Linked DNA regions of Drosophila melanogaster. The protein of the gene in region 2 interacts with the protein of the main gene of each other region in a pairwise test. Each region holds a gene or a part of one and is shown on either strand. Other genes may lie near its edges.

Region 1 (4,440 bases), on a different chromosome or scaffold from region 2:
GCAAATCGCTCCAAGCCAATGCTGAGGGCATAGGATGGGTTGATATTCGATATCCACTCCTGCTGCTACTTCCACTTAGATTGTACTTTTCGTCGTAACGCTATTTTTTTCTACCAATACATAACTGAATACTGAGTGATGATCCGCTGGAATCCACACCAGATGCCAGTCAGTGGAGCTATGACCAGGACTAGTGCAAGCGCTGAACTTGTAAAAATTATTTCCTAAGCGAAAAGTAGTACATAGGGTTTGTATAGTGATTAAATTAAAACTTTTAATTAGAGCGTGTACGATCGATATCGATATCTTAATTTCGGTTTTCATTTTTAACAAAAAATTATAAACACAAAGCGTAATGGATAAATGTCTTTTGTCGACGCTGCTCACGGGTTTACAAATCAGCACTTCATTTATTTTATTTTTAATAATAATAATTATTAATAAATTATTATAATTAATTTATAATAATTCACGGCGCGCTTTATTAATTAGTGTTTGTTGTGAGTGTTTTATTTCTCCATGTATGAATCGTATAAAAAGAACAAGAGCGAGCGGCGGTTAATTCTGATCGGTTGACTCCTTGGCCTCGGCCTCAGCATCCTCGTCGCCCTCCTCAACGGGCGGCACAGGGACATCGGCGCTGCTATCGGGCTGGACGATCACCTTCTTGGGACTCGGGCCGTAGCTGTCTGCCTCTGCTGAAATGGCACCAGACGGTCCGGGAGCAGCATCCTCATCCTCGTCGTCGTGAGTCGTCGACTCCGGTTGCAAGCTAGCCGCTGCCTCAGAGGCGACGCCGTTTTTCGCTTCCTCTACGGAACACTCCTCGGGATGTGAGACCTTGCGCTTGGCAATCCGTTCGCTGAGCGCCTTGTGTAGCTGGGCAATGTCCGCCGGTCGGCCCATGGCCAGGAAGATCTTGACAACGCCAGAGTTGTCGATGGCCGTTAGTCGTAGGGACTTTTGGCTGGCTCGCTCCGCCACCATGGCGGCCCAGACTTTGGTGTTGAGAAGCAGGCGCAGATTGCCAGAAGTGCGGAACACCACGCGCGAGTCGCCCCTTAAGTCCTTGGCGTCGTTTAAGCGCAGACTGCCGCGACCACGCTCCTCCCAGTTGCTGTTAAGAAAGGCGAATAGCTTGCAGCTCACGTCGATAATGTTGATCTCGTCCTCCTCGCCGGTGAAGGTCTCGACCTCCTCGTATTTGCGTTTCTGAGCGCGGCTCTCCTCATACTCCCGGGCCACATCCGTCAGGCTCTTGGCCTCGGCGGACTCCTTGTTGTTGCTGCTGCTGCTGCAAATGGATGAGGAGGCAGCGGCCTCGCTGGTCTCTGTGGTCTGGGCAGCGTTCTGAATGACGCTTGAGAAGAGCAATGGCGCCGAGGACGACGTAGCAGCGGTGGAGGAGGAGGCAGCCTCCTGGGCTGATACCGAGCTGGCTGCCGTATCTGCATCCGGCTCAGCGGTGACCTGTTCAGCATTGGGGGCCACCACACGTTCATGCACATTCTGGCCGAAGACGAACCCGCTGGACTGAACATTTGGCATGTTGTTCTTGGCTGCTGCAAACATGCTGGAGCGCTCAATGCCATTGCTACGCAGCTTGGTCAGCGGATCCGGCCGCTCGTCGACATCGTCGTCCTCCTTGTCGCCAGTGGACTCGGCTGCCGCAGATCCGGTGGCCACCACCTCCTCGTCATCGTCGTCGTCCTTGGACTCGCGCAGAAACGGATTATTCAGCAGGGCGCTGTCTTCACCTGCACTTGGGGATGTGGAACTATTGTTGGAGCCGCTGCTGTTTGCCAAGACTGCTGGGCGCAGGACAGCACCGCCCAGGCGAGAAGCCTTCAAGGTGAAGCCACCTCGGAAACAGTTAGTTTCGACTGACGCTTCTGGAAACAAGGGGGAAAAAACAAGACTCGTTTGTCAGTTTGTTGCGAACTCTTCAAGGGCACAAGATTCGCGATATTTGGCAACTTTAAGTTATAGCAAGCATTACAGCTTGTTTTGCTACGCTTACCATTATTTTCAGACATTGCAAACTAGTCTACTTGCAATTTTAAAATATAAATTGCCAAATCTTTTACAGAATAGAGCGTTCTGTGTAAAGCCTGCCGTATTGTTATCGCTGTGTTATCGCTGTCACTATCGATAAGCGCCGGCGATGGCGCTCTGTTGTCAACACTGACTTTTTCAGTGTTGCTTACTTGCCGCTGAAAAACAAGAAATTTACAAGTCATCGACAGAGTGTTTGCCCAAAAAGATCGGCAATAATAGCATTTTAACAAAGAATTACATTCAGCAACGGCTAATCAACAATCGTATTAGACATGGCTCAGACTCTGGAGGATAAGTCAATCTGGGAGGACGGGGAGGAGTCCCTGGGCGAGGAGGTGATGCGTATGTCCACCGATGAAATTGTGAGCAGGACTCGCCTGATGGACAACGAGATCAAGATCATGAAGAGCGAAGTGATACGCATAACGCACGAGATTCAGGCGCAAAATGAGAAGATCAAGGACAACACCGAAAAGATCAAGGTAGGGATGACAATGAAACGCCACCCTGCCAAATAGCCTCATTTGTTAAGTACTTCCCCATTAGGTCAACAAGACACTGCCCTACCTGGTGTCCAATGTAATAGAGCTGCTGGATGTGGATCCACAGGAGGAGGAGGACGACGGCTCCGTCACCGTTCTGGACAACCAGCGAAAGGGCAAGTGCGCCGTCATCAAAACATCCACTCGACAGGCGTATTTCCTGCCCGTCATCGGCCTGGTTGATGCCGAGAAACTGAAGCCAGGTGATCTGGTCGGAGTCAACAAAGACTCCTATTTGATCCTGGAAACCCTGCCGGCAGAGTATGATGCCCGCGTAAAAGCCATGGAAGTGGACGAGCGACCTACAGAGCAGTACTCCGACATTGGAGGTTTGGACAAGCAGATACAGGAGCTCATCGAGGCAGTGGTGCTGCCCATGACGCACAAGGAGAAGTTCAAAAACCTTGGCATTCACCCACCCAAAGGTGGGTATCTCACTCGAACAAATGTCACACAACCATATTAATCCTTGCCATTTACAGGTGTCCTTTTGTACGGCCCCCCTGGAACTGGCAAAACATTGCTGGCCCGTGCCTGCGCCGCTCAGACAAAGTCCACCTTCCTCAAGCTGGCAGGTCCCCAGTTGGTGCAAATGTTCATCGGTGATGGTGCCAAGCTGGTGCGCGATGCCTTCGCCTTGGCCAAGGAGAAGGCGCCTGCCATTATCTTCATTGACGAGTTGGACGCCATTGGCACCAAGCGTTTCGATTCGGAGAAGGCCGGTGACCGTGAGGTCCAGCGAACTATGTTGGAGCTTCTTAATCAGCTCGATGGCTTCAGTTCCACTGCAGATATTAAGGTGATTGCGGCCACCAATCGCGTAGACATTCTGGATCCTGCTCTGCTGCGCTCTGGTCGTCTGGATCGTAAGATCGAGTTCCCACATCCCAACGAGGAAGCCCGTGCCCGTATTATGCAGATTCACTCGCGTAAAATGAACGTTAGCAATGATGTGAATTTCGAGGAATTGTCCCGATCCACGGATGACTTCAACGGCGCCCAGTGCAAAGCCGTCTGTGTGGAAGCTGGTATGATCGCACTGCGTCGCTCCGCCAATTCGGTTACGCACGAAGACTTCATGGACGCCATCATGGAAGTGCAGGCGAAGAAGAAGGCTAATCTTAACTACTACGCTTAGACTAAAAATTTGCAGTTTAACTTCACATTGTCAGCTCCCATTAAAATAAACCATGGAAATGTAAAATTTTTCAGTTTCGATCTGAGTTGCCCCTTGAAGATCGCCTTTAAAATAACATCGCAACGGCTCTTAAAAGTAACTAGAATGGGAGACGTACTGAAATCAATACCCAACCTTTTTAAAATAAACAAAAATATATATCAAATGTCGAGCGATTCATTGGTTTATCAGTACAACATTTACATTCTGAGTACGATATTTTTTAAATATCTAAAAAGGTCGGTTTTAGAATTAATAAAAAATATTACATCGGGCGAAATTAGATGATAAATATTTACACGCACACTAATTAACCTAGAGGGATGATTTACCAAGTTACTAAGACTAACCAGTGGGATCGAGTGTGTTAGCGCCATCCGGCGCCGCAGATGTCGTGCCACTTCCCCCTTGTGACGCTGCATCGACAAGGGACGTGGCAGTGGTTGATGAGGTTTCCGTAGAGGAGGACGCGGCCACAGCATCGTGAGATGAAACTGCGGCGGCAGGTGGTGTGACGCCCACACCTTCGACCACTGCGGCTACAGGTGCTGCTTCCGCTCCAACCGGCGCCAAGTTAACTGGCGCAGCAGCAATGTCATCTGCAGCTGGCTGCTGTGCCGGCTGATCCGGCTGCTGAAATGGACGCCTCATGTACATGATGAT
Region 2 (6,610 bases):
CTGGCCACTCTGGCACCTCCTGATAACGCAATTGTATTGTTTATATAGTTTCTAAAGCCGAACGAGAATGCAATGTGGCGATATCAGTTGCTGATAAGCACTGGAACCCTGCAGTACACAACCCATAACCGACGATGACTGCCACCAAAAAGCGTCTGAAGATCGTTGCAGCCATCTCGCTGCTCCTCCTGCTCCTGGTCTACCTTTACCGAATGGCCAGCTTCTGCCCAAGCGGAAAGGTCGCCGTTTCCGTTCCCGGCGTCGAGGAGGTTCAGGCCAAATGGCCGCCCACGGAAAGTCCGCTACAAAGGAGCCTTCAGATGGCGTACGAGGAGCAGAGCTCTCTTATTCGAGAACAAAAGGCCGAACTCCAGCGCACAAGGGAGAATTTGGCCAGATTGGAGGAACAAGTTCGTAGCCTCCAGACCAGCACACCGCGCAAGTATCCGAAGGTTAAATACCTGAACTATAAGAATCGCAAACGCATACTAATTACCGGAGGAGCTGGCTTCGTGGGCTCCCACTTGGTCGACGATCTGATGGTCCAGGGGCACGAGGTCATCGTGGTGGACAATTTCTTTACGGGACGCAAGCGAAATGTCGAGCACTGGCTGGGGCACGAGAACTTCGAGCTCATCCACCACGACATAGTGAATCCGCTTTTCATCGAGATCGATGAGATCTACCACTTGGCATCGCCAGCCTCGCCACCGCATTACATGTACAATCCGGTGAAGACCATCAAGACCAACACCATGGGCACGATCAATGTACTGGGTAAATATTTATAATATCAATCAAAGAAAATAAGGATTACACCTAACGAGTATATCTTTTTTGAAAGGTCTGGCCAAGCGCGTGATGGCCAAGGTTTTGATAGCTAGCACTTCGGAAGTGTACGGCGATCCCACAGTGCATCCGCAGCCAGAAACATACTGGGGACATGTAAACCCTATTGGACCGAGAGCCTGTTATGACGAGGGAAAGCGTGTCTCCGAGACGCTGAGCTATGCGTATGCCAAACAGGTAATACCTTTAGCAATATATATACTTTTTTGGATAACCACATTCCTAAGCCAGATCGAAAAAAAAACATTAAACTAGCTGAGATCCAGAAATGTGGCAGATTTTTCCTGTTTCGATCGCTAGTTGAGCATTAAATGATCTCAATTGGAATGCTATTAATTGATGTTCCGCTCGGTTGGCTGACGCGAGATAAGATTTCCAAGCGCGAGCACTGACCACATTTTTTGATCTTGGCCAGCAATCTGGGAGTCAAATTAATTGCTCTTTAAATGTATCTGTATCGACAGGAGAAAGTGCAAGTCCGAGTGGCGCGCATCTTTAACACTTATGGACCGAGAATGCATATGAACGATGGACGAGTGGTGTCAAACTTTATACTTCAGGCGCTGAGGAATGAAACCATTACGGTGTATGGAAATGGCAAACAAACGCGCTCCTTTCAGTATGTTTCGGATCTGGTGGACGGAATGATAGCCCTAATGGCATCCAACTACACACAGCCGGTGAATTTAGGCAATCCTGTGGAGCAGACAATCGGCGAATTTGCCGAGATCATCAAGAAACTGGTCGGCGGGCCCAGTGTGATAAAGCAATCGAAGGCCATGGAAGATGATCCGCAGCGCAGAAAACCGGACATAACTCGAGCCCGCCAGTTGCTCCATTGGGAGCCAAAGGTTCCCCTAGAGACTGGACTTCAGCGGACCATCTCCTACTTCCGCAACGAATTGGCGCGTAGCGATCGCTTTCAGGAAAGCTCCAACAAGTACTTTGATACACATACACCGTAGAATTAATTGGGCTTAGCTCTAATTGGTGATGATGGAACGTCTCTAGTCTGCAAATGTAAATATGACCATCGTTAGCACTAATTGTAAGCCCTCAAGGACCACAGAATACCTTTGTCATGGTTAATTTTTTGAAGTTTTGCGATATATCAGCCTATGTATGGATTAGGAAATAGTGATGTATAAATGCGATCAAATGCACTGAATTCTAGAAAACTAATTTGAATTTGTTTAGGAAAAGAAAATCCCCAAAGAATACAGAACTTAGGGAGTATGGAAACAACAGTTACAAACGGTTTATTATTCACGGACGACATTGCTATTCTTTTGACCGCATGTGTACCACATAGACACAGAATCACTGGGTTACATGACACTTAGAAACAGTATAATCCATTGTATTGTAGAACCACTATCGTATTTTAAAAGTGCCCACAAATTCATACGTTACATCAGAAGGTTGCGGCATATACATATATCAGAACCAGTGAGAATTGAACAAATTATTGAAGATCTGTGACTCACAACTTTAGACACATAACACCTATATGCGCCTTTAACCAGTGTAAGCACACCCCGATTCTAGAAGATAAGTAGGGTTTTCCAGTTGCTGTAGTTGGTAGTCCATTAAAAGAGATTTTTTCTGCGAACTAATCTTACCCGACAAGTATTTTACTATTTATATACATGGCTTATCCTACGCTTAATCTACTCTAGTATACATCCATATATACCTAAGACTATATTTGCACCTTTGCTTATCAGCTAGATCAACTAGTTTGGGCGCCCGCATAATCCTTTTCACCTGGCCAGCGGCTCGAGCATCTCGAGGAACAGTTTCTTCATGGTAATGACTTCATCGCGTGCAATTCCACGCCAAAATCTTCGCAGGATATCATCCGCCTGCCGCAGCGAAGGCAGCAAAAGCAGCAATTGTTGCTGATGCGACACGGCCGACGAATGACGCAGCAAGTAGACCACATCGTTTAGAGAATTAAGAATCGTATCACGAAATGCGCGCAGGGAACTCTGATCATCCAGCAGAATGTCGCAGTTGGCCAGCAGGAGCGCCTTTAGCAAGTAGTACTCCTCCCTTCGTGGCGATATTCTTTCCATGCGCTGTGCGATCTGGACGCAGTGGTAGTAGAACTCCGTGTAACCGCACTCCTTGGCCAAATGTTCATCCATCCAGACATCCGTGGCGAAGCATAACTTGCCATTGAACGGTAGGGACCGGAAGGTCAGCTGGAGCGTCAGGATCTCTGCCCACGACACCTGGAGAAGCTTCATCTGGTCGTTAAGTGGCAGATCTATAAAGCCAGGTATCTGCTTGGCCCAGCCAATGACGCTGACCAATTCCTTGTCGTAAATATCACTAAGGACGCTTAGTATCTCATTGGGATCATTGTTGTTGTTGTTTTGGAAAATGCAAGTCCCATTGGGCGTAACAACGCTGGACTCCAGTTTTATGCTGCCCGAGGAGGATGAGGCCTCATCATTAGTTATGCTAGTCGTGTGGACTTGCGGCGGCGGCGTTTGGACGCTCAAGGCATCCGGCTCATATGAATTGAGCACCTCCAGTATCTTGACATCGCACAGCGAGGTGGTGTTGGATTGGTATAGCAGCTGCATAGTCTGGTAAGAGTTTGATACAGGATTCCTTCGGTACTTCTGCCGTCCTCCACGAACTCGATCCAAGCGCACACCCTCCTGAAAAGTTAAAGCGATTAGAGTTTAGGAACTTTAACTCGGGACTATGAAATTACCTTGAGCATGCCCATTAGTAGACATTTCTGGAAGCGACACGCTTGGCAGGCCTTGCGTCTCCGCTTGTTAATCTCACACTCGTTGTTCGCCGGACACGTGTACTCGATGTTGCCTTGGATGGTGCGTTTAAAGAACGCTTTGCAAGCCTCACAACTCGCCACACCATAGTGGAATCCACTGGCCACATCGCCACAAACCAAACACAATCGGCGGAGCTCGTCCCTGACGGATCCCGATCCAGCTCCGGCACTCGCATTGGTCGCATTTCCACCACTCGTACCACCACCTCCTCCTCCGCCATTGCCGCCACTTGTACCACTTCCTTTCAGACTATCGCCATCATTGCTTAAGGATACATTGTGCAAATCGCAGGATAGAGAGGTCGTCGAGCTGCAGAGCTGCCTTTCCGGCGAAACCGAGGGCGAGGATTTCAGGCCGTTTGTGCCACTCTGCGTGGCCGTTGACTTGGAGCTGGGACTAAAGCAGGACGCCGATGGAGTGTCCACCTCCTGTTTGATGTGCAAGATGCTGACGCCGTCGGACATGTTCGTGCCTTGGCTGGGTGAGAAAAAAAGAGTTGCGGATAAAATAAGAAATATGTTTCAACAAGTTAAAGCCTTTGATTTGAACTTCAAGAAAATGATTGATTAGATAGAGGACTCGAGATACAAGGTTTAGGATAAACGATATGGTACGATATGAGGATCAACCCAAAATGCGGAGAGAAATGAACAAGTAAAGAGTTGAAATGTGGGAAAAACGTTCAATTTCGCCAAATCACCGCGATAAAGATCGCTTTAGTTTAATGTCAAATAGAACGCGCTGCACAGTGGTAAACATAGAACCCAAAAACGGGTACTTTACAATTCCAACGCTGTTATCTGGACTTATGAATGAGTAGTGCCATTGGAGCCCACAGTGCTGGGCTAGTCGCATGAAACCTGGTCACGGAATTCTTAATGAATGCAAAACGTAATTGTAATTAAGCCGCGCAAAAACCAAAACAAACGGCGGTCCGTCCAGTGCAATTCGAATGCGATCCTCGGATTCACAAGTGAACGTATGCAAGCTCTATAGCTTACCCTTCTCCCGCGTAGAACTTCATCGGTGGTCGTGGAAAAGTACGGGACAGAAATGAACTGAAATCCGAACCGCGCGCCGTGAGTGCGATAACAGCACTGTGCGTGGAGTACCTTCCAGCTGAAGGTACTACAAATCACGACGCACAGTGCTGACATTGATTAGGCAAAAGCGAAGTAAAATAAAATCGAAAAGGGACAGTGGTGGAAGCGAAGCTTTAATACCCTAACAATTGGCAACCAATTGGAATGCCAGCACTCTGACCTCATTATCAGCTAGGCACTGAACACGAGTCTATATTTAGACTAGTCATATACAATATACATAATCTGTCTGCCAGGAAATGGTCATATATCCCTACTATCGTAAAGCTCCTACAATTAGTGTGTTGCTGCACCCAGTCAACTCTGTGTCAGGGTATAAAACGCGCGCTAGCAAAGACAATGGGGGGCAGTAGTGGTGTAGTAAGTAGACGGCGGACGACATCGGCCAGGTTGCAGATGAAAGATAAGCAGCACTAAGCACTCTGCTCTTATCAGCCCAAGGGAAGCCGAAGCCAGAAGATTGTGATTGCGGCCCAAGGTGGGCCTGTCCGCCTCTGTTTACATACTTACATAAAATCGTTCTGAGGATCTTTTGTGTAATCAGCTCCACTGTAACAACGTCAATACATATCGGCCTCCTCGACCGTTAGCATGTAGTACTTGTTTTGGTCCGAGTTGAGCACCTTCTTGTTATTGCTTATGTATTCGTTCCTCAGCATTTTTCGATGCTCGAGTCATAATTGTTTATTCACTGGTCATTATTACTGGACATCGTGGCTTTTGGCGACCATCGGTTATTCAGTTGCACTTTCTATGAGAATGCAGACAGCATCTGCATCGATTTTGTGCGCCTGGATTGGGATTTGGATTTGGCACTCGGGCAAGGCACGAAACGTCACTCTGCGCGGATACGAGTCACATTGTTTGGGGGCTCTTTATTGTGAGCATGCTGTTCTCGCTGGTTTTCGTGCAGATATTTGCATATTGGAAAGATTGAAATGTAATTTTATTTTCTTTTTTGGTGAACCAGACCTGACCAGGGCTGGCAAACACTGAACACCTATCCAGGGATGCAGACTATGCTGGCTCGTGCTCACGATTCGGTGGTTCGCTTTTCGGAACTAAAACACTGCCGCAATTACTTTACAGACTTATTTCATTTTTTAAATAAAACTTATAGTAATGTATATAATCGTTTGCATAATGTTTTACTCTAAAATAACTAACAATGGCATTTAGTTTTATTAGTTTCGTGGTAGATGCTTATCCTGAATGCAAGTGAATGATTTTCAATATGTATGCAGCTCAGGTGCAGACGCAGCCCTTTCCAGCACTGGCGCATGCAACTCTGCTCTCGATTAGCACTCCCTGGTTCGCTCTGCTCTGTTGCTGTCCCACTTGCCTTTGTGTGGGTGCTGGTGTGTGTGCAAAACAGAGCAAAAACAATTGCGCGACAAGAAATCCAAATATCATTAAACATTACGTGGATTCAGTTTAATAAACGCCTTGCAGCCAACCACTAGTCAACAGCGGTGTCCTGCGTATATTGATAGGGCCGAGGCAGAGGTGTTAGCTATACAAATAGGTACAAATAAACGATTCTCAGTCACGTATGTACATTTCGCAAGCGTTTGGGTGTGTGTGTGTGTTTTGTTTGTTGTTGTTGCTTTTATCAGCAGCCCCAAAAAGTGTACACACACTAGTGCAAAGTTTGTTATTGTATTTATTAACATATATTTACTGCTTTGGCCCACGCTTTGTTTGCGCCATTCGCTATTCCGTAATGCGCCATCGGTAAATCGCGAGATCAACACATTTCCCTGGCCGAGCAGTCCGATATAGCTAACGATTTACGCCCAATCTGTTGCAGGACCCCAGCCCCTCCCACACAGAAACCATGATGAGCCT
Region 3 (6,049 bases), on a different chromosome or scaffold from region 2:
CAATGTTGCAGGCGAGCAGCGGATAGTGAAATCCGGAAATGATGCTTGGGCACGAACATAAAAGGGATTTGGAACTTTTATGGACTTGTAAGACAGCTCTTATTGCGCATTTTGTGATTCCCGAGTCGTAGTCTTCCCCCAGAAACTTTCACTTATCCATTCCTTGACCAGGCCAAGTGCTTGAGCTAATATATATATACGTATGTACATATATACATATGCACCTCTGTATGCACATAATAATCCCTCTTTAAAATCTGTATACATTTTGGATATTTGCCAATGGCTGAACATTTTTAGCGAAATCGAAATACGTGCATTTAGTATTTTCGAGCCAAAATATGGTTGATTTCTCTATTATCCACCGCCCCTGCATTTTTCCAACCCCCCTTTTCACTTTTCTCGCCAACTACATTACACAATTTTTGAAATGGAAATGGTGTGATGAAATAGCAAATTCCTTGGCCGATTGAAAGTGCAATCTTAAGAAAAACTATACAGTATTAGTTATTAAATAAACGTATTAACTAAATCATGAGACTCCAAATGCTTTGCTTCCCTTTTTAATTTGCGTTAAATTTATGTGGAAAATAAAAGTGATTATTTTAATAAGTGGAAATTCCAGAGGGTTAATTTTTTGAATGATAAAGAGTCCTTTGGTGAAATTCAACGGATGTGCTAAATGCGAGGATAATAATCGACATATGTATGCACATATGTACGTTTATGAAATAAATCATCCACAAGGTCGTGGAGTTTGCATTTCACCACTTTTGTTGCATCATTCAGGGGTGCGAAACATTCAAGGTCATTTGCAACAAAAATTTATGCTACAATTTATGCAAGGGCGACTGTTGCATGTTAATTTGAATTTACTTCCGGGCATATATTTTATTAAAATATGCGTGACAACCGAAAATAGCTGACCCACAAAGCCAGTGAGCCACTTTTTCCGCCCCGGAGCTGGCATTCTACCCCATTTTCCGCCTCATTCCTCTTAATTTGGCCCGCTGTCTAGTCTCATTTTTTGGCCATCAGAGGTCCGAGCAACAATTACCCGCAGACACAACAGCCATGATGAGTGTGCTGGGCGAGGAGCACCCACTCGATTCGCCCACCCAACCACCTCCTGCCCCGCCCACTGGCCGCCCCTTTTTGTGAATGGCATCCGAGGAGTGGAGGACTGCGCAGAATCCTCTCTATCGATTAAAGCCCAACGCAGACAGCTCTCTCTAATAAAACTTGGGATAGGGCATGGGGATGGGTTTCTGGGATGTGCGATGTGGGCTGTGGGATGGATGATGTGATGCGGATGTGGAATCAACTGCGTAGTAGTCAAAAGTCAAGTTGAAGGGGGTCTTTTGGGGGTGTGGCACCTGCTGCTGATGCTGCCACGCCACTGCTGCTGGTGGGATAATGTTCGAGATGCTTAATGCGCAATTTAGTTTGGGGTATGTGCACATGGGGATACGACGAAGTGTAGGTCAGTTTGGACACTTTCTCTCTTTGGACCCATCCTCTCTTGCTGAGACTCTTTGTTTCCTTGCCCTTTCCATCGAAATTCTCTCGCTGAATTATAATCGAAAATTGCATGCGAAAGTTTTATCCTTGGCACCAAAATAGTGCATTGGCCCCTCTTTTTTCAATGCTGTCCAATAGCGCAAGTGACGCTCGCTAAGAATGACGAGGTCTCAGTGGGGCAGAGGGTTTTAAATGCACTCTGAATTAAATGTATATATTATGTTTATACTACTAAAAGTATTGCTTAAAAAATCCAGATATCTCTAACCTATTATGTTCTATTACATTACAAAATTCACATATATTTGGACTTTTAGTTACATCACTATAATACAATATAAAGTTTTAAATAGAGCTCAGTAGACTTTGGATATACAGCCATTACTATCTAGTAAAGTAACACCTTCCAAACACAATTCATAGCGCCTGGAGCTAACTCAAATCTATCATTCGTTCACATTTTGTATACGACTAAAATGGTGGTTGTACAGGGAATGTACGAAGTCACGGAGCTGGTGGCTGGCAGCGTGGGATGCGTGTGTCTATACATCGCCGGATGCAATGTGCTGCCCATGGAGCATATTCCCGATCTTCCGTCGGCGCTGTTCGTCCTGACCGCCGTGCTTTTTCTCCATCATCTGAGGGTAATGAATTGCGCACCGCTGCAGAAGCTTTGGCTTTTGCTGCTGGAACTGTTGGTCTTCTATATGTGCACCCAGGTCGTGGTGCTTGTGTGGCTCCAGTTGCTCAGCCATATGAATAAACTGCGGGACAATGCAGTTAATACTCGTACCGGCATGTACCTTTTTGAAGCCTATCCAAAAGTCTTTATGTTTTTGCGCCAAGATGTCTACTATTTGGGGCAGCTTATCATGTCCGTGGCGTGCACCTACAAGGCGATAATGGTCACTCATGCCCTGGACTACGCCCTACCAAATCGCCGGACGTACAGATACTATGAGACAGATGAGAACTTAGGCGATGGTCCGCGGCGTCCTACCCGAAAGAGCAACCAGCGATCAACACCCAAGAAGAGCACCGTGCGTGGTCGCAAAAAATAGAAGCTGTCGCAGAAACTGGATCAATCAAATCGCCCAATCTAAACACAGTTTTTCTATGCTTTCGATCATTGAATTAGCCCACAAAACACGCGTAATAAATTATCAAGGTAAACGGCGGCCCGGGTGCATTGCACCCAAATCGAAGGTGCTGCTCAAGAGCAGTTTACGCTTTACTAGAAATTTGCATGCTTGAAAGAGCAGAGCCAACACGTACACACAAAACCAACTTATTTTCAAATTTTGGCGCCTCGCGACAATCGATTAACGGACAACATCATCAAGATCAGCCAATCGTATGAATTCCACCTCTAACACCAGAGAATATTGAGAAGAAGAAGAGCGTTGTGTCGGATCTAAACAATAAAGAAATTAAGCAATTAGCCGAAATTTTGTTGTTTTTCGGTTGAAGGGGGTTTAATTCCGAGTGGGGGGAAGAGATGGCATTTCTTTGCCCCGTGCGCATGAGGCGCGACAAGAAGAAAGGTGTGTTCATAGAAAGCGGAAGAAGCAGCACGGAAACAAAAGACTTCAATCACGAACTTGTTGTAGGAACTTAAAAAAATTGAAATTGTTTAAATCTGTTTATTGGTGCATTTATTTTGTATATCAATGTACAAGAATTCTTTTTGAATTAAATATTTGTATTCAAGTTTTTTTTCTTGAAACTATATTATGATTGAATGCATAAGATATACATTTTATTTTAAATTTAATTAAATACGACATATATTGTACCTAAATAAGCATTTTCAAAATACTCCCTTTTCAGCTACAAATGCCAGCATTGAGAGGGACTTACCAGCTGTGGGTGTATTGGGCATGGGCCGCATAACTGGTTCCTCCAGCATTGAAACACTTGTAAGAGTGGGCATTGAAAAGGAACACGGTCTAAGGTAAGTCGATCCCATCCATTATCAGTTTAAATAGTCTGTACAATATTAATTCTATTTTAGTCCTGATTCCAAGATGGTTGTGCTGCACGACTTTACTCCTTGCGTGGATGATGAACTAGAGGTGAAGCGTGGACAGCTGGTTAATATCTTGTACAGAGAGAACGATTGGGTCTACGTGATTGGTCAGGACTCTAGGCAGGAGGGTTTCATACCCTTCTCTTATTGTGCTCCCTGCAACACGCAACTGGCGGATTTGGCTGTTAAGAAGAAACTGCCAAGGGAACAGTGTCCAGAGCAGCCGATCGAAGAGAATATACCACTTTTGGGCACGGATAACAAGCTGGATGTTCTTTGCGATGAAACCTTGAATCCTGGCTCCGCCAACAGCATAGAGAACACCCTGCTGGTGGAGCCAGAGTGTACTCCTTTCGTGAAGGAACCCTCCGGGCGCTGTATCGTCTTGTACACCTTTATAGCCAGGGACGAGAATGATTTGTCTGTGGAACGGGGTGAATTTGTTACCGTGCTAAATCGCGAGGATCCCGATTGGTTTTGGATAATGCGCAGTGATGGCCAGGAAGGATTTGTGCCAGCCAGCTTTATTTATCCTGCAGACAGTGTACGAGTTTTGCAGCAACAGAAAGCCACTTTAAATGCCATGGAGACCATTTTGCAGCAGGGTCAACAAGGTCAGCAGAGCCAGCAACAGCAGCAGCCTCAATTGGGCTTGGGAACAGATGATCTACGCTACCATGGCACGGAGCTGGTGATGCTGTATGATTACAAAGCGCAAGCTCCAGACGATCTGTACCTTTCTGTGCGGAGAGGAGATTGGATTTACGCAGACTTAACCAATCAGACTGTTGATGGCTGGCTTTGGGCTTATGCTCCGAAAACCCGCAAATATGGATTCATCCCGAAAGCCTATGCCCGACCACCCGCGATGACCAGCCTTTAAGAAATAGATTCAATACCATAATCGTTTTAATTATCACTTCGACTAACACTAAAGCGTAATATTCGTAAGTCTTCCAAACACAGTCGAATTGCATTTCGAAAAGCGTTTCTTTGTGGCTTGGATATTTTTATCTTGAACACTAAATTAATTTTCAACTCATAAATGCCATTTTCATTGAGTAATAAATTGTGCCTTAGATTTATTTTGTATGTGAGTTTGCATAACATATCGTATACACTTAGTCTAGTGATTTCATTCTTAACTGTAAGTGCCTCGTAAACGAATATCAAAAATATCTACTATCGTATTCCATATAGTACCAGCGTGGGCAGCACTTTGCTAGCATCTAGGTCTAGATATGAATACTAAAGCACTGTAGGGGCCAACCCCTCGATATGCACTTGGTTTGTATTATTGTATTGGATTTGCATCCAAGCGGCGCAGTTGCGTAGAGTTATGCTCAGCATAATGTTGTACGCACACGCACGTCCAACTGGATTTTGGTTATCACCTCCGATTGGCGAAGGTCTACTTTATTCCCAAACTGTCGCTAGCTGAGGAGCAGTGCGAGCAATTAAGCTCCATATTTCTGTAGAGAGAGATTGGCTAATGAGATTTTTGCATTTGTAAAAGAAATTGTTATCCTACTTCATAGCTTCTCTCAGCTGCTCCTTCTCGTTCATCTCCTCGCGCAGTTTCTGCTGCAAACTGAGAATGAGATCGTTTTTATTTCGAATCTGCAGCTTCAGATGCTCAATTGTCTCCTCCTGAGCTTCGAAAATTGCCTAGAAGTAAATGAAATCTTATATAGATTTGATAAATACATGAAAAAGAAATCATCCTACACGACACTCCTCCATGGATTCAGAGTACGAAGGCGGCTCGTCCAGGCAGAAGAACTCCCGAACCAGTTTGCACTTTCGCAGCTCCTCCTTGGCCATCACTGAGTTGACGAAGATCTGCAGACCTTGCACCCGATTGTCGAGAAAGACGGCATTGAAGTTATCGCCGAAAAGCTTCTTCCGGGGCAGCATGAGCGTAAGGTTGGGAAAAGCCTGCTTTAGCTTGCTATTGAGCCGCACGAAGTCGGTGTAGCGTCGCATAACAAGCCAATAGTCGTTGGTCTCCGGATTCTCGACTCGCAGCTTGTAGGCAGTGAAACGCGCACGTTCCTCCATAACCTCGTAACCAATAATGGGCACCCTTAGCACAGCGTTGGGGTCCACGGGCGGCACCACCGATCCCGAGGAGAGAGTCATCTGGCTGGCGAACATAGAGTTGGAGCCAGTGTGCCGGGAGCTGGATTGGCTGTAGCCCAAGCTGCACTCGCTCATCCGCCGAGGAGTTCTAGACCTGGATTCCAAATCCACGGAATGTCCACCTGCCTGGTTGCCATAGGACGACTGCGTCAGGTCGCGATGGGAACGTGCACCGCCGAGCATTTCGCTTTTGTTTATCGGCGTTCTCGGAGATTGTTCGTAACTGTGAGAGCTAATCCTTTGCAGGCAAACCTCTGACTTGGCGTTTGCCACCGTCAATGGAGCACCGGAGTTACTGGCCAGGATTAAACTAACATCCCCCTCCGATTTGCTGCGCAACAGGCTGTTGTTTTGGTA
Region 4 (5,706 bases), on a different chromosome or scaffold from region 2:
TGCATCCACCCAATCGATGCTTAATATGCATGATGTAGAGACTCAATCGATTCCAGTATCGTCCAAAAACCTTAACAGCATACAAACGCAAACGGACTATGAAGAACCAAAAACTGTCCGTTTTCCGTTGAAAAAATATTCGAAGACTGAGCATGAAGAAAAAAGACCTAGAAAATCGAATACTTCATTGCGCAAATGTTTTTTCAAGCGCCCATTAATCGTAGTCAAAGGCGGCGCTCTTATATCTTCCGATTTTACAGCCAATATCCATCAAAGTAGAATGGAGAACGTATCTGTCACTACCAGAAAAGAAGATAAAGAAACACAATATGAAAACCATTTTGGGACACAATCAAATAGTTCAGACGATCAGCCTTCAGATCCTTCAACGTGTTCAAAAATCCTCGATAGAGTTCAGAAACTGGAAGCCATAATGAAGAGACAGGAGCTTTTTCTAAGGGATCTACAGGGCTCTGTGAAATCGTGGAAGGTCCAGGAATGCAAACCCTCTGATTGTAGGATCATATTTCAAGGTAAACCGGAAGCATGTGAATTGCCAAAAAAACTAGAAACATCTGATCAGGCATCACAGATAAACGATATACACGAGGAACGCAAATTGCCAATAAAACCGGAAGGTTTTAACCAGTCATCCCAGAAAAAATATACAGCTCGTTCCGAGGAACAAAAGTTGCCAATACAACCTGAACCTTTTAACCAGTCATCCCAGAAGAAATATACAGCTCGTTCCGAGGAACAAAAGTTGCCAATAAAACCTGAACCTTTTAACCAGTCATCCCAGAAAATATATACAGCTCGTTCCGAGGAGCGAAAATTGCCAAGAAAACCTGAAAATGTTGATCAGGCTACACAAAAAAAAGATACAGCTAATTGCGAGTGCAAAACGCTATCCAAAGAATTTATTCAAATATTTTTGAAGCCTGAAACTGCTCAAGAAAAGCAGAAATCAAATAATTCTCAACGCACCACAGATACCCCAATAAACTCGGAAAACTCAACTGGTCTACAATGCAGTAGAGAATGTAATGGAAGTTCTAGCAAAGACAATCGGAGATGTTGTAAGGCGAATGGATATGAAATGCATCTGAAAGGTGACCAATTCCCAACTGCTAAACAATGCTTAAAAGATACCGAAAATTTTCTAGAACAATTTAATCGGGTTTTTGCTAAAACAAAAAGCGAAGAAACACTTTCCGACAAGTCTAGAAATACTTCAGCTTTCTCTGCAAATCCCACGAAACAAAATGATACTGAACATGGGGTTGAAAACTTACTGGGTGAAATTGTTAAAAAACCCAAATCAAAGGTTTCCTCCACATCTTGCTTGGAGGCAAAGAGTTCCGAACAATCCAATAAAAGTGTAGAGAAGGAATTATACAAATCCTTTATTGAACAGCTTATTAGTCATTTCACAAAATCCAAGTCGTGTGAAAATAATCAGGCGCAGAATGCCCAATCAGAGTCCTACTCATTCGATCGCTTACTGCCGGAATTCGTAAAAATGTTTACGAGATCCAACAGCCTCGAGGAGGACAGACCCAAAAAAGTGAGCATATCAGAGAAGAAAACCATTTTGGGTGCCAATCCGATGACCAGCTTCAATTGTTCGAAAACTCCTCATAATATTAAATCCACTGCACTGAAATCGGAACTTAAGACGTCGGATATGGAATTGGATGCGAACGGACGTAGGGGTTCCTGTCAACTAGAAGGAGAATCTAAACCAAGTGCAATTTTTAGGAACACCCAGCGGATGAATAACCCGCCACGTGGTTGTCAATACTGTGGCGATGGCAGTCTGCCCATTCTGGATTCCTTGATGGATGAAATATTTCGGCTAATTGGGCAGCGGCCCTTCGATGACGTGGTCCTTACCATACTGCGTCAAGAGGATAATGTCTACCACATCAAGGTGCGTGAGATGGCAACCGGCAAGGACCTAGGCTGCATTCTGGGAAGTGGGAGGGCCATCAACCAAGCTATCGGGATAGGATTATTCGAGGACATTCCCACGTTCTGTGAGCTGGACAAAAACAGGCAGTACGATCCCAGGGACTGTCCACTGGACGAACTTTGCCGTCGGCAGTGCGGCGGTGAGATTGCACCAGATGGAAGTGCCGACAAGGAAAGGGTCGTCGAATTTTGCACTCGTGTGCTCGGTCTGCCCGCTGGACAAGCGTCCCGCTTCTTCTCCGTGACCAATGCCCTCAAAATGGGAAATCGAGAACTAACTGGCCGAGGAGCGGTCACTAGTAGCTTGGTTGACAATTTTTCTTCTAAGGATTTGAGCGATGTGGCCAAGACATCCAGTTTATTCCTACGCATTATTTCTGGCCAGTGTAATGACGTTCAAGATGATGAATAGGATTCATCATATGGGTTCGATAGCCATAATGCACTTTAGCTTTCATACCATTTAAATTTCCCTTAAGACTTTGTAACAACATTTTTCTAGAATTTTTTTTTATGAAAATATATTGTCTTATTTTATTAAATTATTTTCCTATGTAGAAATGTCGCAAACTTGCAATTCGCATTTATTGCCACTAAGCAGCTGCACATTGGGAAAATCCGCTCAATCAGCGTCCTTCGCAGGTAATACACAATTAGAACATTAGATCCCAGTATGAGCCGGACCAAGTTTTAATCCCTTCGAACTGACAGATGTTAGACATTAGAAAGCCTAGATAAAAGTATGGAGTTTACGGCAGGTAGAACCATTTAACTAAACCCATTTACATCTATAAAATAGCTTGCAGCGAGGAGGAGTTCATCAGTTTGCCAAGAACTCTTCACCTATCAAGACATTCAAACAAGACGCGTAGAAAAGAACCAAAGCCAAGCCAATTATATCAATTAAAACTTTGTTCAAATCTTTTCCGAACATATTTAAAACACATCCGCCATCATGAGCAACATCAGCAACGACAGTGGATTGGATGACTCCGCGAACAGTGGAGCCGTTGTCAGCGCCAATGGACCATTGGCAGCGACTCGGTTATCCTGGTTCCTGGCCGAAGTCGATGACGGCTTGATGAAGGATGGGAAGCCAAATGGTCGACGCCGTCTCTGCGTTCTCCATTCGATGGAACTCCTAGAGTCAGATGTTTCAGACAAATACATGACCCGATTCGTAGAATTCCGGGTCAATGGAATGGTGCTGGAGGCGAAACTCATACTGGCAGCGGATGAGAGGCGCCTGGTGGATGCAGCATTGCTGTCCATGAGCAAGGAGGAGAGGGAAGATGCCGGCGGCCAGCAACTGTTGGTCCAGTACACCGAGAATGAAAAGGCGGGCGAGCGCCTCATCCAGAAACTTGTTTCTCCAAACAATGTAATGCTGCTGAGCACCAAGCCCGAGCTGAAGGGTAATCCTCTGGTGAGGTTGGCTCCCGGCTGCATTGCCCACATCCTATATGCCTACGAAAGTCGTGATTATATGGAAAAGATACTACTGCACCTGAAAGCGCGAAGCTTTGATCTCGCCTTCGATGATAATTTGGAAGCTGAACCGGAGGCCATGAATGATGACACTTGGATGCTGGTGCAATACAGTCCCGAACCGGAGATGGTGGTATACCAGGTGGTGCAGTACAGACAAACCGTGTGGAGGAAAGAGAATCTCTTTAAGGACGTTATTGCCTACATGCAACTTCCTGGTAGCGACATCGTCCTCCAGGCGGTGGTCATCAGCTATGGCCAGGACAAAGAGGTCCAGGACGCGAAGTATGAGGAGTTGCAACGATTCTCTTTTGATATTGACTTTCCACTGCCCGAAGAACTGGAGAAGCACCCCGATCACATGACGTCCACCGCCCTCTTCTCGCGAACCAGCTTGTATCAGAAGGCGGAGCAGCGGGACACTACTGGAGAGCACAGGGAGTTGCGAAAAAGTCTGGAACAGATGAGCGAAAAGGCGCAGGGCGAGGCCCAAATGATCATAGATGCCTTCGACATGGTGGACAATATCAACAAGAATCTGCAGAGTCGTTTGTCCGGAGAGGTGCGATCGGTAGTGGAGGTCACATCCGGAGACGAACTTCATTAGTTGGCAAACACATCACATTTTCTTTATACATATATAGTCTACTAAGTTTCGTTGAAAGTTTAAAACTTAAATGGTAAATATTATTAGGCTAGAATTAAATACTAATTGTAAACTATATGTTTAGGTAATTTGAATAAATATATAAAGATCTGCAAATGATAAACGTATAAATATTTCTGTTTTTCACGTTTTATTCTGATTTTCGACATGTTAAACATGTTAAATATAAATATTTAAATTGACATATTTGTAAAAACAAGAAAAAAATATATTAAAATGGGGCAGTGCACTGGGGTGCAGGCGGGTGGGGGGCATGATCAAACGCAAGCATGTATGGTGCGTTGTGTACAATTATCAAAACGTGCATCATGACCGACGGCGGACCAACTCGTGGTTGTTGGACGAAAACGAACGATCCTGTCTGATGTATCATCAAAGGATTAGGCATCAACGGCCGGGTGGGTTCCATCCATCTAGAGGGCCCGAAAACAGGTGGCTGCTGTGCTGTTACGTTAACCGGACGAGGATCGGCCACCGGTGGTGGTGGCATCGAGGGAGCCGTACCAGGCATCGGGTCAGGGACGAATCCTTGCTGATCACCTTGTACCGACTGTCTCCCCATTTGGCTATTGTGGAGACGTTGGGGCCGCTTGCGAGCAAAGTCCCAGGCCTTGAATTCATCTGGTGGCAGTGGATGTAGATTATCGGAGGGCACATCAACCAGTTTTCCCTGCTCCTCGATAAACACTTTACAAACGGACTTCTTCTTATCGATCGATTGGATGTAACAAGCGCTGAGCAGATCGCGTCTATTGGTATCCAACTGCACCTGGCACTTAGCTCCCACCTTGAAGTTATAGTCGCCTATGTAAATACCAAATTCATACGCTTCACGACGAGCTTCAATCGCGCTAGTCAGCTCCACGTTACGATACCTACAGGGATCCATTGACTTGGCTACCAAATAGGAGAAGGGAATGTTGTTCTCCTCCAGAAGGATCCGCATGCAGGAAAAGTCGGCAAACTGTCCGCCCATTGCTAGCCTGCGATTATGAAACGGGCACATCTGGGAGTTTTCAAGCAAGCAAATGGTGCTCTCAGGGCGATCCAGCTTGAAGCTTCGTCCGTTGCGGCACAGCAAACGGATGGCGCGGCCGCGCGAGTCGAACTCATATTCAGTGCCCATTTTGAAGGTATCTGGATACAGCATCCATTCCACAGCGAGATCAACATCTGGCAGGCGGAACAGGTGCTTGTAAAGCATCTTGAAGGACACAGACTGGCAAACGGCGGCCATATCGACGTCCTGCATAGTCAGCACGGTTTCAAAATGCCCCATGCTGTTCATAAAGATACGTAGGATCTCCTTGTAGTCCTTGTTGTAGGTGACCATCCGGCCCATATCGAAGGGTTCGTAGATGATGACATTGCGGCGGTACAGGTGGCACATGGCACCCAGTTCCAGTATGGTGCCCGCCGTCTTGGTCTTGCCCAAATGCCACAAGTACTCGTCGAAGTCTCCACTCACAAATCGCCGGAAGGTCTTCCATTTCGTGAACATATAGCGAACGCACTCCATCCTCACTTCGTAATGAAGCATCTGGGTGTCGTACACCTGCTCAGCGACCACTCGAAAC

The links.
Region 1: the proteins of ERR (region 2) and Rpt5 interact in a two-hybrid assay, tested with the Drosophila melanogaster proteins (one large-scale study listed by BioGRID).
Region 3: the proteins of ERR (region 2) and Dlish interact in a two-hybrid assay, tested with the Drosophila melanogaster proteins (one large-scale study listed by BioGRID).
Region 4: the proteins of ERR (region 2) and Elba3 interact in a two-hybrid assay, tested with the Drosophila melanogaster proteins (one large-scale study listed by BioGRID).

Annotation. Positions count from the first base shown.
Region 1 is NT_033777.3:23,750,684-23,755,123, forward strand, and holds Rpt5 (regulatory particle triple-A ATPase 5), read left to right. Parts: upstream 1-2,192; 5' UTR 2,193-2,330; coding exon 2,331-2,540; intron 2,541-2,604; coding exon 2,605-3,025; intron 3,026-3,082; coding exon 3,083-3,738; 3' UTR 3,739-3,940; downstream 3,941-4,440. Other genes in the region: RanBP3 (Ran binding protein 3), read right to left, coding at 559-1,892, 2,021-2,036; Hrd3 (HMG-coA reductase degradation 3), read right to left, coding at 4,123-4,440.
Region 2 is NT_037436.4:8,180,907-8,187,516, forward strand, and holds ERR (estrogen-related receptor), read right to left. Parts: upstream 4,765-6,610; 5' UTR 4,684-4,764; coding exon 4,661-4,683; intron 4,316-4,660; exon of another isoform or gene 4,137-4,315; coding exon 3,578-4,136; exon of another isoform or gene 3,522-3,577; coding exon 2,613-3,521; 3' UTR 2,455-2,612; downstream 1-2,454. Other genes in the region: Uxs (UDP-xylose synthase), read left to right, coding at 135-777, 845-1,026, 1,314-1,814; Atg18a (Autophagy-related 18a), read left to right, coding at 6,600-6,610.
Region 3 is NT_033778.4:17,720,421-17,726,469, forward strand, and holds Dlish (dachs ligand with SH3s), read left to right. Parts: upstream 1-2,888; 5' UTR 2,889-3,019; coding exon 3,020-3,065; intron 3,066-3,351; coding exon 3,352-3,475; intron 3,476-3,535; coding exon 3,536-4,433; 3' UTR 4,434-4,636; downstream 4,637-6,049. Other genes in the region: CG10934 (uncharacterized protein), read left to right, coding at 1,998-2,582; Snx16 (sorting nexin 16), read right to left, coding at 4,962-5,022, 5,082-5,218, 5,279-6,049. UniProt on the Drosophila melanogaster protein: Required for the apical cell cortex localization, total cellular level and full activity of dachs.
Region 4 is NT_033779.5:4,684,720-4,690,425, forward strand, and holds Elba3 (early boundary activity 3), read left to right. Parts: upstream 1-2,791; 5' UTR 2,792-2,929; coding exon 2,930-4,069; 3' UTR 4,070-4,237; downstream 4,238-5,706. Other genes in the region: CG11929 (uncharacterized protein), read left to right, coding at 1-2,386; CG3251 (uncharacterized protein), read right to left, coding at 4,341-5,706. UniProt on the Drosophila melanogaster protein: The heterotrimeric Elba complex is required for chromatin domain boundary function during early embryogenesis.